Ovis aries: one gene and its partner. The protein of the gene in region 2 purifies or fractionates together with the protein of the main gene of each other region. This does not show direct contact. Links are inferred from orthologs where the notes say so. Each region holds a gene or a part of one and is shown on either strand. Other genes may lie near its edges.

Region 1 (3,814 bases), on a different chromosome or scaffold from region 2:
TATGAAAGCAAAGCCAGACTGTGGAGAGTAACGATTTCTAAGCCGGGCGTGGAGCCGTCACCACGGACGCACGCTGGACTTGGAGGGAAGCAGGTCACTGCTGGCCAGGACGGGGCACAAAGCGGACTTGCAGGAACGGAATGAGCAGACACAAATCTGCTTTACTCACTTCCAACAACCTTTCCTAAGTTTGGGATGATGCTCATAAGACAAATTACTACAATTCAAAAGCAACAGAAACCAACTCAATTTTCCCATCGCAAAAATGAAAAGGCCTTGTATCAATGTTAAATTTTCTGATTTTGATGATGTCATCAAGGTGATGTAAGGGAACATTCTAAAGGATTTTGAGGTAGAGGGTTATAGTGTCCACAATTTACTCTCGAATGGTCACACACACACACACACACACACAGCAAAAATGCACCAGAGAGCGAGCAAGAATGTGGTAAAATGTTAGGTGACAAAAATGAGTCAAGGGTATATATGACTATTCATTGTACATTCTTGTTACCTTCTTGCAAGTGTGAAAAGTCTTTTAATTAAAAAAAGAAGAAATAAAACTACTTAATAGAAAAGACTATTGCACCTTTACTACCATTTAAAGGCACCAGATGGGGAGAAATAAAAACAGTATCTCGATGGAGATAACAAATAAAATGGAACAAAGAATTCAAAACATTTCTAAAATTAGTCTATCTTCATTTTAAAATAATTATTCCATATGGTATCTGGGGGCAAATCATTCTTCTCACAAACAGGGAACATCTGTTATATACAAACCTCATAAGAGGCTTGAGTATTAAACATAATGAAACAGCAAAGTCTCACACTAACAATTTTCAGACTATTCAAGGCAGCAGTTATCCCTGGCTCTGCAGAGCCAAGATACCAAGGCAAAAAATGTGAAAGTTAAACAACATCTAGAAAAACGCTGGTTACACATGGCCTGTTCAAATTTCTGGATATATGCAAAAATTTCACTCAGAAATTGAGCATGAGAGTTAAATTCAAAAATCCCAACTCTTCTAATGTAATTTTATCACTTTTTTTTTTAGTTATTAAAAAAAAATATTCATCTAGCGTTTATAGCTAAAATACAAATGTACAAAGCTGACATAAAAAGTGTAGCTACTATTTACAGAACAGGCATTGGGTCAGATGGTTTACATACATCATTTTTAATCATCATACCCTGCATGCATGGTGGGCATTACTGACACCATTTCAGAGTGAGGAAATCAAGGCTGAGAGAGGAACCTTAAATGTCCAGGATCCCTCAGCGACTAAACGGCAAACAGAGACTCTGTCACTTAAAAACTCTCTGCACGTACCAGGCCTGTTCCCCAAGGCAGGCCTCCAGTCTTCCTTCTGCCTGGGAGCCCCTTTCACTCAAACCTCACCTTCTTCACGAACCTACTGTAACCTTCCTGTTTAACAGTATTATCTGGCTTCCACCCCAACATTCTCAAGTCCCCTTACACTGCATTAATTTTCTTTTAACTTTCTGTTTTGAGATAATTGTCAATTCAGAGGCAGATGTAAGAAATAATAAACCAAGTTTTCGTACACTGTTAACTCAGTTTCCCCCAAAGGTAGTATCTTGCATAATTGTGGTATAATATCACTTACATTATGTTTTTTTCTCCTAGTATTTATCACTTTCTAACATAAAGCTGTTGTTATTGTCTGTCCACTCCCATTAAAATATAAACTCCTTGTAGGCAAGACACTTAAGTCTAAATTTTGTTCACTGCTATATCCCAAGCAGACAAAACAGGCCTAATCCCCAGAAGGAAATCAACAGATATTTGTAGAAGGAATCAAAGCACATTGTGCTGCCTCCTCTATCAGGAAATAAACCAGCTCTTTTAGAGACTACTTTGGTAAATAAGAGGATTCTGAAACATCAGGGAAACATTACACTCACCCATGGTGACATAAGGCAACTTATCAGTTGATCCATGAGGATAGATGCTGTAGAGGTGAGGTCCAGTAACATCTACTCCCCCCAAAACTAGGGCTGCACCAATGTAACCTTGATACCTGGTGATCAGAGCATGCATAAGAAAAAAAAAATGAGTCTACATTGCATCACTATAACTTACTCAAAAGTTGCACGAGAAGTCAGACAACAAAAAGTTTTTCTTTCACTACTACTGCTTCATTAAATAGCTACTGTTCTGATGGGGAAAAAAATAAGGAATGGAGCAAACATATTTGAACATCTATCAGTCAAAAAAAACTGTAAATTGTATGAAGCACCCATGTGCCTTACATCATCTCTGCCTCACAACTCCCTTCAAAAGAAGACACTATAGTTCTTATTGTAGAGAAGGAAAAACCAACCCAAAGTCATTAGAAAGTCTCAGAGCCAAGCGTGGCTTACTCCGAAGATCATGAATACCCCTCCCATCAGACCTCTCTGTGATTCGAAAATAAGGTCCCTTCCAAGTCAATGGTGAAATGTCGTTAAACTAGAACTGTTCAAATTATCAACCTCACCACAGGAAAATCACTTTTGTCAAAATACCTTTCCCTTGAATAAATCCACAAAATTATGGCAGATAAGAGCTCATACTGAATAAAAGAAAAAAGTACTTCATTATGCAGGGAAGTGAACCATGAAATAACTCCATGACAGTTTATAAACCCATTGCTACTGTCCACAGTTTAAAGCCATCTCTCTCAGGAACATGGGAGAGACATTTTCCACCTGACCCCATCTGTTTAATTCTGCACATATTTGCTCCTTTGGACCCTCTACTTGGTTGGTTTTACACTTCTACAGATTTCTTTCCCTATATATGGATCAATTTTTTTTACCATTAGAACTGCTATACTGGATAAACATGCTGGCTTTAAAGTTCTCCAGTGTAAGCCTTTGGCTCTTTGGGAAGAAAAATGAAACTAAAACATGTTGAATTTGCCTGATGATACAATCATTAAAATTGATACAAATAAATTAACACAAAAACCAAAGTCCTAATTTTAGACTGCCTGAGACAGTTACCTATCAGGAAGTGCTCTAGGTCAAGTCCAATACTTCCTGCATCCCTTGATTACCAATTCATTACTTCAAATCTTCCATTTATAAGTGAAAAAATAAAGAGCAGGGAAAGATTTTAGAAGCAGTCTCAAGAGGGAAGAGAGGCCCAGACAGGGGAAGAAATTGGTCCTAAGCCACATGAGCTGGCAACAGGTTCAAGAGTAGATCTTGGAACTCTGGGGTGAGAAGCCAGAGAATCACCAGACCCACCACTCCCACCCTAGCCCAGTGCTTGATCCACTATATATATATATATATATATATATATATATATCTCCTGCCAAATAGACTGTTCAGTTAAAGTCAACAATAACCAGCTAGTTTCCTTCCAAGCTAAAACATAATCTGCTTGATGCCTTTAAAAGAGTCTAAGCTATTTTGGCAAGTCAATGAAATCCTTAAAAATTGATCCAGAAATTCTATTTCCAGGAATCTAATTCTAAAAATATAAAAGGATAAATATGCAGAAATGAATTCATAAGAATATTTACTGCAGTAACTGTTTATGATGCTAGAAAAGTGGAAACAGAATTACCTAAACTAATACACCTAGCTATACAGCAGAATACTACGCAATCATTAAAGATCAGGCCATGAGTTTCATACACAACTGATGGTAGGACAGCTTAGAACAATCTTTCTCGGCTACAATCCTGGCAATATGTATTAAAACGTTAAATGCTCCTATCTTTGACCCAGCAATTCCACTTCTAGGAATTTATTTTAGAATATAGCCTACAGAATTAATAACACAAGCACCTAAAG
Region 2 (4,278 bases):
TGTGCCTGCATTACACGCCAGGCATGTTTCTTCGTGCTAGGGGTGCATCACCCAACACAAAATCTCTGTGCAGCTTGCCTGTGATTTACTGAAGGGAGAAAGATGATAAACCCAATAAATATGTATTAATGGGACGACAGAGGATGAGATGGTTGGATGGCATCACCGACCCGATAGACTTGAGTTTGAGTAAGCTCCGGGAGTTGGTGATGGACAGGGAAGCCTGGCGTGCTGCAGTCCATGGGGTCGCAGAGAGTCGGACACGACTGAGCGACTGAACTGAAGTGCTATAGAAAACACAGCAGGGTAAGGGAACTAGGGAAGTTGCTGTTTTAAGTCGGGTATCCAGAGTCGATCTCCCTGAGAAGGCGACATCCGAGCAAAGATTGGAAGGAAGTGAGAAGTCGAGCCACCCAGGTATAGAGGAAAAGTGGACTCGAAGCGGAAACAGCAAGGGTGAAGGTAGACTCTCAGGTTGAGAGCATTTGCTGAACATCCACCAACAACGTCTAGTGCAAGCCGAGAGAATAAGATGTAAGAGGTAGGGGCTGTGTACCCAGCTCTAGGAACTTTGACTTTTACTCATGAGATGAGGTGCCATTGGACAGATCTGCCTGGGGAAGTGATATAACTTGATCTTATATTTAGGCGCAAGGTCCACTAACATCGTCTAGCGCTTAAGTCAGTGTTCTCAGGGTAAATGAATCCCAGCACAAGGCTTCAGCCACACAGCAAGCGCCCTGCAAGCGCTGGCCCTCTACGCTGGTTGCCCGCAACCCTTTCACTTAAACCTCGCCCCGACCTACCGCCCTCTAGTTCCCCAGTTCCAAGGCTCGCCAGCCACTCTGTCCTGTCTCCACGTAGCGCTTCCCCGGCTACGGATTGCGCAACTCAGGCAACCGGGCGGAGTCTGCACGTAGGCGGAGCGACAGCGGGCGGGAGAAGGCCCCAGAAACAGACGCGACGAGGAAGCCCGGAGCGCCCCCACGAGACGCCCACTGACTGCGCCTGCGCACGCGCCATCCCGGCGGCCGACATTCCAGAGCGGCAATCCGCCCCGCCCCAATTCCGGGGCGGAGTTCTTGCCTGCGCCTGCGCACAGCCTCGCCGCACCCTACGCCTGCGCGCTCCGCCGTCCCGGCCCCATCCCCCCCAGGTTTTTAGGGTGGTGGGGGGAGGGCGCGTCTCGGCGAGTCACGATGATGGCGGCCACCAGCCTGTGGTGAGCTAGCGGATTCTCTGCTGCTCTCGCAGAGCCCCTCGCGCTTCTTACAGACCCAGTGGCTGGTAACCGGGCGCGTGAGGAAGCACGGCGGCCCGAGCTCGCGAGGAAGGCCGCAGTCGCGGAGGCAGCGGCGCGGCCGGGAGCCAGGGCTGGGGGAGAGGCCGCTCTGCAGGGCGAATGTGACAAGCCCCCACCCCCACCGCCTTCCTCCCGAGTGCGCGAGGAGCGCGGGCGACCCCGGGGCCCCGCCAGGCCACAGACCCCGCCCAGCGGCCAGCACCCGGAGCAGGCCCGGCAGCCGAGCTGCGCGACGGCACCATGCTGGTCACCCTGAAGACCCTCCAGCAGCAGACCTTCAAGATCGACATCGACCCCGACGAGACGGTGAGTGCGGCGGGGCGCGCTGGGCCCGGCACGGAGCGGGGGCGGTCCGCGCGAGGGGCCGGGAGGGCCTGGGCTGGGGGTGGCGCGGCGGGACCGCGTGCGGGGCCCCGACCTCAGCTTCGAGCGCAGCCTGAGCGGGTAGAGCCGCGGTGCACCCGAGAGGGCATGGCGAGCGGGGGGTCTAGGGACCCGGGCGCTTATGAGGCCTGCGGGTTCCAGGCGCGGGTAGGGCCAGGGACCCGGCAGCGTGCGGCCCACTGGACCTTCAGGGTGGGCTGTGGGCTTTGTGGCAGGAGTGCGGGGAAGCAGTGGTCGGACACCGAAGCCCGAGTGGCATATGGCGTGAAGCACGCGTTAGCGGGGCACCGGAGGCCTCGGCCTGGGCGCTCTCGGTGGAGGGGCCAGAGGGGGAGGGGAGGTCAGGGTGGCCTGGGCGGTCGAGCTGCGCTCCGGGGTGTGGGTGCACAGGTTAGGGAGGGAGAGGTAGGCGTCGCCACTATCCCTGCGTGGACCTGGTTAGGCGCTGAGGTCTTGGAGGTGGTAACTGGAGATAATGAGCCTTAAATAAAATGGTATCAGGTTCCGTCAGCCGCAGAGTGTGAGTGCGAGGGGTGGTGAAAATGCCTTTTTTGCCCTCTTCCCCGCAGAATTGGTGACCATTTTATTTGCATAAATCTTGAATCGTTTCGCAGCAGTTCTCCCGCCACCCAGCCCACACCCATACGTAGATTGCACTTCGAGGCCTTTTTGGTGGTGAAGGTTGTTGCATTAGAGCCCTTCCAATAAATCCAGGCGCAAACTTAACTCCAGATTAGCAAGTTCCCTGTGTTAGAAGCCTTGAAATTGTAGGATCGGAAGTCTGCACCCAACCCCCAAATAATAGCCTTTCAGAGGAGAAATAAAGAAAATAAAAACTCTGACTCTCTTCTGTAAACTCTTGAACGACTCTTAACTTCACCTGTTAAATTCTCATGTCATCCTCTGTATTTGTGACTGCAAAAAGCCACTGTGTTGAAATCAGTACAACTTTATGCCAAGATCTAAAAATTGCCATTCAGTGTAAACTTACTTCTTGTGTTCTGGAAGTGTGAGTCTGTACACCTTTGAGGTTGTCACAGTGCTGTATTTACAGTAGCAACTTTCTGCCCGTCTGTATTTTTCAAAATAATTGATTCAGTTTTGGTGGATGTCGGGGATCTTCAGTTCAGTCGCTTAGTCGTTTCCTACTCTTTGCGACCCTGTGGACCGCAGCATGCCAGGCCTCCCTGTCCAGAGCTTACTTATTTAAACTCATGTCCGTTGAGTCGGTGATGCCATCCAACCATCTCATCCTCTGTTTTCCCCTTCTCCTCCTGCCTTCAATCTTTCCCAGCATCAGGGTCTTTTCCAGTGAGTCATTTCTTCACTTCAGGTGGCCAAGCATTGGAGTTTGAGCTTCAGCATCAGTCCATCCACTGATATTCAGGACTGATTTCCTTTAGGATGGACTGGTTGGATCTCCTTGCAGTCCAAGGGACTCTAAAGAATCTTCTCCAACACCACACTTCAAAAGCATCAATTCTTCTGGGCTCAGCTTTCTTTATAGTCCAACTCTCACATCCATACAGGACTACTTGGTGTTGGTTAATTAAATAAACCTGAGCTCCCATTTTCGGCTCTAACTTAATTTGCTATGTACCTGTTTTACAAAGATGTGAAGATTAAATAGTATTTAATTGGTGGTCAGTAAATGGAATCCATTATTAATCAATGGGTACCTTTGAGTGAGGAAGTTTTCTACATCTTGAATTTTCATTTTAAAAATGTAGTTCCCAAGCTTTTTGAAATTGTGGCAGAAAATGGTTTTAGTTCAAGGCACTTAATTATATGTGTAAATATGCTACATGATAAATTCTTAAAAGGTGCAAGAGATACCAAGCTTCAATGAGAAATTCAGTGCCCTCAAAATTGACAACACCTGTGGATTGCTATTACTGAATAGTACTGCTTATTTTGTACTTATAAGTTAAAGGATGGAAGTGAAAATGCAGCTGTGTAATGTTTTCAGCCAAAATTTTCCATAAAATAGCTATTGACTTTAGTTTTTTGTAATGTTGGTGCTGCAGGAACTTAACCAACTGGTATTCACAATTAGTTCCAGAATTATTGAAACCTGAAGGTTTGGGGTTTGTGTGTGTGTGTGTTTTATATTTCTGGGTTTATTGAAGATATGCAGTGACTTTCTACAGCTCCACTGAAATATTTATGTTCTACTAGATTTGTGTTGCTCTTTAGGCATTTTACGCATTCATTATCTTAGAGCCAGTATTGTGTTTGTATAGATAATTAGCTATGTTACTATTTGTGTTTGTATAGATAATTAGCTATGTTGCTATTTTCCAGTTTATTTATATGAATTATAAACATATACTTCTGGAGGTAGATTTTCAGAAAGCTTACAGAGTTGCTGCTTCAGTTTTTTGTTGCTGTTTGTCCAAGTATAATTGTGCTGCTGTTTATATAAATGTAAAACCTAACATTGTTAGTCTGGGGCAAGAAATGAAAACATTTAATCAGGATATTCTGGAACATTTACTTTAAAATGACTTGTGGGTTTTTACTTTAATGGACTTAAATTTCAGAAGTGGGGAAAACATTAGAGCTATTTTAATTGCATCTTTATAGTGATT

What was found.
Region 1: the proteins of RAD23B (region 2) and PSMB7 fractionate together in Homo sapiens (co-fractionation; 3 studies listed by BioGRID, with this or other methods). This does not show direct contact. The link is inferred for Ovis aries from reciprocal best matches to the Homo sapiens genes RAD23B and PSMB7.

The regions. Positions count from the first base shown.
Region 1 is NC_056056.1:11,429,858-11,433,671, reverse strand, and holds part of PSMB7 (proteasome subunit beta type-7), read right to left. Parts: intron 2,047-3,814; coding exon 1,931-2,046; intron 1-1,930. UniProt on the Homo sapiens protein: Component of the 20S core proteasome complex involved in the proteolytic degradation of most intracellular proteins. This complex plays numerous essential roles within the cell by associating with different regulatory particles.
Region 2 is NC_056055.1:15,850,587-15,854,864, reverse strand, and holds the start of RAD23B (UV excision repair protein RAD23 homolog B), read left to right. Parts: upstream 1-1,188; 5' UTR 1,189-1,217; coding exon of another isoform or gene 1,218-1,391; 5' UTR 1,392-1,491; coding exon of another isoform or gene 1,492-1,543; coding exon 1,544-1,609; intron 1,610-4,278. Other genes in the region: uncharacterized protein LOC121818810, read right to left, coding at 807-1,114, 1,218-1,391, 1,492-1,545. UniProt on the Homo sapiens protein: Multiubiquitin chain receptor involved in modulation of proteasomal degradation. Binds to polyubiquitin chains.